Caenorhabditis elegans: one gene and its partner. The protein of the gene in region 1 interacts with the protein of each later gene in a pairwise test. Each region holds a gene or a part of one and is shown on either strand. Other genes may lie near its edges.

What was found. The genes of interacting proteins can lie anywhere in the genome.
Region 2: the proteins of attf-4 (region 1) and prmt-5 interact in a two-hybrid assay, tested with the Caenorhabditis elegans proteins (one large-scale study listed by BioGRID).

The regions. Positions count from the first base shown.
Region 1 is NC_003281.10:6,078,724-6,082,481, reverse strand, and holds the start of attf-4 (AT hook-containing protein attf-4), read right to left. Parts: upstream 1,920-3,758; 5' UTR 1,907-1,919; coding exon 1,808-1,906; intron 318-1,807; coding exon 213-317; intron 1-212.
Region 2 is NC_003281.10:5,228,866-5,232,623, reverse strand, and holds the start of prmt-5 (Protein arginine N-methyltransferase 5), read right to left. Parts: upstream 2,070-3,758; 5' UTR 2,046-2,069; coding exon 1,750-2,045; intron 1,701-1,749; coding exon 1,619-1,700; intron 1,526-1,618; coding exon 1,332-1,525; intron 1,251-1,331; coding exon 969-1,250; intron 925-968; coding exon 519-924; intron 242-518; coding exon 1-241. Other genes in the region: atp-2 (ATP synthase subunit beta, mitochondrial), read right to left, coding at 2,389-2,489, 2,538-3,249, 3,297-3,758. UniProt on the Caenorhabditis elegans protein: Catalyzes the symmetrical dimethylation of arginine residues in targets such as small nuclear ribonucleoproteins, histone H2A/H4 and cbp-1.

The DNA of each region.
Region 1 (3,758 bases):
AAATCGAAAAAAATAGTATGTGTGACGGACGGTAAGCCTATTGTTGTGTCTAGTCGAGTTTTTTTTTGGAAATTTTCAAAATAAATACTAGACACCTATGACTTGTTGCATTACACATTGCACTTGTCGAAATTGTTGTGCAAATATATTTTTCTACTTCTTTCATTCTCGATTTAGAAAATAAAATAATTTATTAATAGTTTTTCACTCACCTGATGCTGAATGAATACAAAATTTGTCTCGAGCTTGCTGACACGATCCACTAAGTTCAGATCTTCATCCTCGTCCTTCTGATTCACATCGTCTTCCATGATCTCCTACAAATATTTCAGAATTAGAGAAGAGCTTAAGCTTGATCAATAAGAATTGCAAAAACTCATGTATCAGATATATTTATATTCGAGCAATTCGTGCAGCAACCTAACAAATACCAAATAAATTTAGAAAATTGGTCACAAATTCACTCAAATTGAGGGTTGTATGTATGTGGTGGCTGGGTGCTGCTGTGACAGGAGAGGGAGCGGGCTGCTGGCTCAACCACCACCTCGCCTTCCCCCCTGTCCGTTTTCCTTCTCAAAATAAATAAAAAAATATATAAATATTTGATTGAAAAAAAATGGAAAAGAAATAGTGCGGTTTTAGAAGAGCGCCATAAAAAATACGGAAAATCGAAAGAAATTGGGTTTTTTATGTTTGTAGGAAAAATGAATGATTTGAGAGCACAAATTGAAAGAAGGGGAGGAGGAAAAGTTCGCTTTTTCAACAAAAAAAACAGTCTGTTTGTTTGTTCGCGCACTTTTACGGAATTGTCGTGTGCTCCGCGAGCATCTAACAATCATCATTAAATTGAAATTTTCTGTTAATTCCTATCATTATCAAAGAAAAAGAAGAAGAATTTTTTTCATCTATAATTTTTCAATAATTTTAACGATTCCGATAACTGATAATATTTTCGCTACGTTTTATTTTCTATCGTGTAATGTGTAGATAATAAAATAATAAAATTCTTGTGGGGACAACGCAAAAAAAAACCAAAAGAAAATTGTGCTCTTTTTTTTATTTTGAAAAGGTTTTGTTAAACAGAAAAAAGGGAGAGAAAGAGCGGGAAAACAAAATATGTGTGGTTCCGAGTCCCACAGAGTCCCACAGCGGCAAATTTTATTTCAAAGTGAGCATAAAGGCAAAACTAAACCTTTTCCAAAAGCACTTCTAAATATGGAAAACGAAAAAAAATGTTTCATAAATTTTATATCGAAAAAAAAAGTTGTTTGCCTTCTGAATTAGCACATTTTCATCGCTCTCACTCTCACCTCAATTTTTTCAATACATATCGAAAAATATGTCTATTTCTCTTACATTTAACGAGCGAGGCAAAAATGTTGAAAAAAATGAAATTGCGAGTTTCTTCGAAATAAATAAAAAATCATCTTGAGATGTTTGAGGCAAAAAATAAACGAGAGAGAAATTGTGAAAATGAATGAGGGAGGCGGGCAAAACGAGTGCGAAAACAAGAGAAAAGATTGAGAAATGTGTAATATATGTATTTGCGTTACATCTTTGAAACTGCGAAATTTTTTTAGAACACAATTTTTTTGTTGTTAAAGTCTAGAAATTTTAGAGGTCGCCCATGTAGGTTTTCAGACATTCAAAAATTTTGAACCTCTCTCCAAGCTTAATGTATAGTTTTTAAATATGTAAGACATGGGAACAAGTTTGAAAAAAGACATACAGTAAAATTTTTTTATATGTCTTGTAATTTTTTATAGTGTTCTTTTTTCACATCAAAACGATGAAAATCCAAACTCACGTCAATGTTGGAAGGAGAAGCTGAACTACGATCTGTACTGACGGATCCTCTGAACTCTTCACCATTCGCATTCGGCGTTAAAGTTGGCGGTTGGAGCATCATCTGAGTTGATCTGAAATATTAAGTATAACATATTGATAATGCGTTTAAAAAATGAAATTAAATTTCGAGAAAGCGAAGAAGAATGATAAGAAATGTGAAAAAGTGAGGGAAAAAGTTTTCAACAAAAAAAATTTGTTTGAAAAAGTCATCAAAAATATTAAATTCTGCTCTCTCACTTGTCCCTCTCTTTCTATTTTCCCGTTTCACCCCAAAACATATATTTTTGATAAGATGTATTGCAAAACTCGAAAATAGTACTCGAATACGGGAGACACTTCTCTGAATCACATAAAAAATGCGAAATTCTTTTTTTATTTTTGTGGCTGGTAGTGGATGACGAGGACACCAGAAAGAGAGGGAGAGAGATACTTGAATTGCTGATTTCGCATTTTACAAATTTTTAAATTTTATTTTATTTTTCCGGTTGCGCAGTAAATAACAATTTAATTTCACATAAATTGTTTTCTAGGTGGGTTTTGCAGAAAAAGAGAGAGGGAAAGAGAAAATAATGAAAATTTTAGAAAAAATTTTAATTAAATTTGTGTAACAAAATAGGCGAGAATTGGGGAAGGCGTAATCGGGGGGAAAAGTTTTTTTTTTGAAAAATAAAGTTTCAAGGCGCACGCGCTGAAAATTTTAACTGGCCACGATTAACATAAAACGAATTTATAGACCTCCCACGGAGTGTGAAAAATGTAATTTTCTGCCAAAAATGTCAGAATCATATTGTATTCTGAAGACTAAACGAATTTTGAAATAAAATTTTCGAAAAGGCGTTTAAAAAAGGCGCGTCAAAATGTAGCTTTCAAAGTGACTACCCCAGAAGCCAAAAGTTCGTTATAAATTCAGAATATTAAAATATTTTTTGCCAATTTTTAGTTAGTTATAAATTTCCTAACTGGAATTGCAAAGAGAGTGCAGAGTCTAGCTTCTCAGCACCCTATTGAGCGAGAGCTTTTCGTTTCTTTGCTACCTCTGTTGGAAGTGTGGAGAGTCTTTAAATTATCATAACTTTGTGATGCTAGAAAAAAGTTATCAACTGACAAAATGCTGGAAAATATCAGCTGGCTTTTCAGTTGAATATTTTCCAGAAAATATTTTTGTTTGTAGATAATTGAATTTGAAATATTGCATGAAAAAAACAGTACCTTAAAAACCATGAAAATCCCAATTTTTAGGGTTGACAACTGGCCATAGCGAAAAATCTACAATTTAGAAATGTTCACTCAAAAGTCCCAAAAGAGTCGCCAACGTGACCATGAGTTGACCCTTCCCTAGTCAAAATCTCATTATACCGGTGGAAGGCAGATGTTGGTTGCACACATAGCACATTAGAATAAAATAAAACATGGAGTAAAACGAAATGTCCATCACCACTGTCCACCATCAAAAAACCAAAAAAAACGGAACAAAGGATGGTGTCTGTTTGGGTGTTGGGAGTAGAGGGGTCAAATGAAGAGAAAGAGAGAGCAGGTGGCGTTTTGTAAACGAGAGTTAGAGAGGAATAGAGAAATAGAGATAAAGAGGGCACCAAATGACACATTTTATTATTCTTAAAGGACGATGTCAAACCCGCCCATCGCCTGCCACCAACGGGCAAAATGGAAGAGAGGTTATGGAAAGCACAGAGGAAAGAGAGATAGGATTAAATTTTATTGTATGTTACAATATTGGAGTGGGAGAAAGAACATTTGAATTTGGAATTTTACTTTTTGGAAAATGGAAAATTTATAATTCTCAATTAAATTCGCCTATCAAGTCAACCGGGGTATATAGAGCTAAAAATAGGAAGAGAAAGAATGTTGCCACACGTAGTGGTCTAGAAATACTAGAACTCGGCAGCTCTTTT
Region 2 (3,758 bases), 850 kb from region 1:
GAAGTTCCGAAACAATTATGTCAGGTTGTTCGAATCCACGATCTTTCGCAATTCCCGGCAGACTTCGCATATCACTTTCAATAATCGTTACTCGTCGTTTCCATGTTCTCACATTCATATATTTCAGAGTGACGATTGCATTTGGATTCTTTTCAACAATATAAAGCTTCACTTTGAGACTTTCTTGGCCTTGTCGGAATGTGTTGTTGTATTCTCTTTCAGATTTCAGAATTTTCGTTCCCTGAAAAAAATTGAAATTTATAATATTTAAAACTATGGAGACGCATAAAAATGCCCGTTTTGATATTCATTTAGACCGAAAAACTGTAAATTGAAAAATGTTGCAGTTCGCTTCAGACAATTGGCAAAATTAACTGCAAAATGTTTGAATTTCCGGCTTGTCGCCAACTTCCAAACGAGACCCATGGTCAGGGGGTGGAGTGTTTTCAATTGGCCACAAAATATGTTTTCATGTCGAATTAAAAGGGACTTTTTCTACTTAATAGCCAAAAACTCACAATAGGACCACGTCCTCCTCCCAACAAGTAAATGACAACAGTTTTTCTTCCGTCAGCTCCAAGATCTTTTAATGCTCCAACTACAGCTTCTCCATACACGTCGTATTTAATTTGATCCTGCTCGAATGTATTATAAACTCCTGAATCCAAATTTTCAGACAATGGTTGAAGAGGTGCTTGCAAAACATCTTTGTATTCGATAACATTAAGATAATGAGTGGAGTCATTCGATCCTTCTCCAACATCAGGACGACTTCGGTAATTAACATTTCGAACTGCATGACGAAGAGCTTGAGAATACTCGGATTTGATAGAAGTATTGTACTTGAATGTATCCGTTGTGGCACGAAGAACGATCCGAAGTGCATCAGTTGTCCATAGATGTTTTAATAAATTTATGTGGGCACTGAAAAATTAGTATTTATTTGAAAATGTAATCTTGAAATTTACCTTGGAATTGATGCTTCTCCATTTCTTCCAGAAATAAAAAGACCCGATTCGATAACAAAAGCTGCTAGGGGCTCGGCCTTCCAACGGTCCACAAGTTTAAGCTCAGTAAGCTCATCGGGAAGTTCCGAAGAGATCGTCAAAGCCACTTGGAAATAAACACCACTGAAATTACCACAATTCTTCCGGAAATCGGCCCAAATTGTCCATAAATCAACATGTTCTATTGTGAAAGCGTCATAATCTTTGCACTTTTCAATTGCAGACGGAAGTTGAACCCAAACACTGAAAATAAATATAAACTTTGCTTTTTTAAAAAATATTTTACTGAAAAAAAGGAGCTATTTCATATTGCATTTTACTTACGTAAAACGCGAATTTCTAGTCCAAATCCATTTTTTCAAAATGGCAGCAGTACGAGGCGACGAGATGCGTGTGAGCTCGATTGCCATCGTTTGAAGACCCAAATAACAAATGTAGCTGAGCTCTTTCAGAAGATGTTCCTCGGAAAGCGAGGCAAAGGCTGGATCAGAAGAGTCACAGTCGATCCATGGAGAAATCTTGAAAAAAATGACAATTTCAGGTTTTAATTTAAGAATAAAGGGCTTGTTCTTCGAAAAAGTAATTAAAATTAAAAAAAAAACCCCCCATACTTTTCCTACAACATAGCTTTCCCAGAGATCATTTCTCAGCTGAACATCGGGCAAATCAATAACAGGTGGATGATTCTCCGCGCTGAAAATTAGTAGTCTAGTTGAAGTTGGGTAAGATAGTCGATGTGAACCTTCCATTAGGCGTCCAGAATGCGCGAACGACCCCTCCAATCGGGTAGACGACAAAGTTATACTTGAACTCTCCCAGTCGTGTACAGAAAGTAGCAACATGACGGTCTAGATTCTCGGCAACGTCCAAGGTTGTGGCCATCCATCCGATGTGTATTCTAGAGTTCGCTGCCTCAACAGAGCTTATACTTCTGCTGGGAGAATTACTTTTGGGCGAAGAACCAGAAGACATCTGTTCCTCATGCTGCTCCGCGACCTGTTGTGGAAACAGATTATCGGCATACGTTCTGTTACTCATTCGTTTAACCTGAAATTTGACGATCAACAAACTCGCAGTTTTATCATCGGCTTTCTGTTTATTTCTGATAAAAATATACTAGAAGTCAAATGAACTTGGGGTGTGAAAAAAATAATGTTTTTGCTTTATTTTTGTTGCCTTTTAGGGCATTTGGGTTGGTAGTTGAATTCGAAGAAGGGAGAGTGAGAGATGGAAAACAACGTATTGGGAGTCACCAAATAGTGGTCTGACGGAAACAGCACTACCGCAACAATACAATAAACTATACATTAAATTTATCTCTACCAAAAAACATTGAAAAAAAGAAAAACGAAGTGTCGGCGTTATAACAAAAAAAATAAAACTAATTTCCGTGTTGCTTGGCGAGTTCTTCGGCCTTCTTGAACACATCATCGATTCCTCCTTGCATGTAGAAAGCAACTTCTGGAAGGTGGTCGAGTTCTCCTGAAAATTGATTTAATTTTAATGTTTTCAACGTTTAAATATTCTTACCCTTGAGAATCATGGTGAAACCGCGGATTGTCTCTTCGAGTGATACGAACTTTCCTTGATGTCCAGTGAACACCTCAGCGACTTGGAATGGTTGGGAAAGGAAACGTTGGATCTTGCGGGCACGTGAAACGGTAAGCTTGTCTTCCTCGGACAACTCATCCATACCAAGAATAGCAATAATATCTTGGAGGGACTTGTAATCTTGGAGGATCTTTTGAACTCCACGAGCAATGTCGTAGTGGTTCTGTCCGACAACGTTGGGGTCCATGATACGGGAGGTGGAGTCAAGTGGATCGACAGCTGGGTAGATAGCCAATTCGGCAATACCACGGGACAAGACAGTGGTGGCGTCCAAGTGAGCGAATGTGGTAGCTGGAGCTGGATCAGTCAAATCGTCAGCAGGTACGTAAATAGCCTGGACGGATGTGATGGATCCCTTCTTGGTGGTGGTAATTCTCTCTTGCATACTTCCCATGTCAGTGGCAAGGGTTGGTTGGTATCCGACAGCGGATGGGATACGTCCGAGAAGAGCGGACACTTCAGATCCAGCCTGGGTGAAACGGAAAATGTTGTCAATGAAAAGAAGCACATCTTGTCCTTCCTGGTCACGGAAGTACTCGGCGACAGTGAGACCGGTGAGGCACACACGAGCACGGGCACCTGGTGGCTCGTTCATTTGTCCGTATACGAGAGATACCTTGGAGTTCTTTCCCTATAAATTGTTTATTTAAATACCATGAACCATTTTTTCCTACTAACCTTGAGATCAATGACTCCTCCTTCAATCATTTCGTGGTAGAGATCGTTTCCTTCACGGGTACGCTCTCCGACTCCAGCGAACACAGAGTAACCTCCGTGAGCCTTGGCGACGTTGTTAATGAGCTCCATGATAAGCACAGTCTTTCCGACTCCAGCTCCTCCGAAAAGTCCAATCTTTCCTCCCTTGGCGTATGGGGCAAGAAGATCGACGACCTTGATTCCGGTAACAAGAATCTCCTGCTCGACGGACATTTCGACGAATTCTGGAGCTTCAGCGTGGATAGCAGCGAAGTTCTTGGATGCAATTGGACCTCTCTCGTCAATTGGCTCTCCAATGACGTTCATGATACGGCCAAGAGTTTCTGGTCCGACTGGGATCTTAATCGGATCTCCGGTGTCAGCAACTGGCTGTCCACGGACAAGTCCTTCAGTTCCGTCCATAGCAATACATCTGACGACATT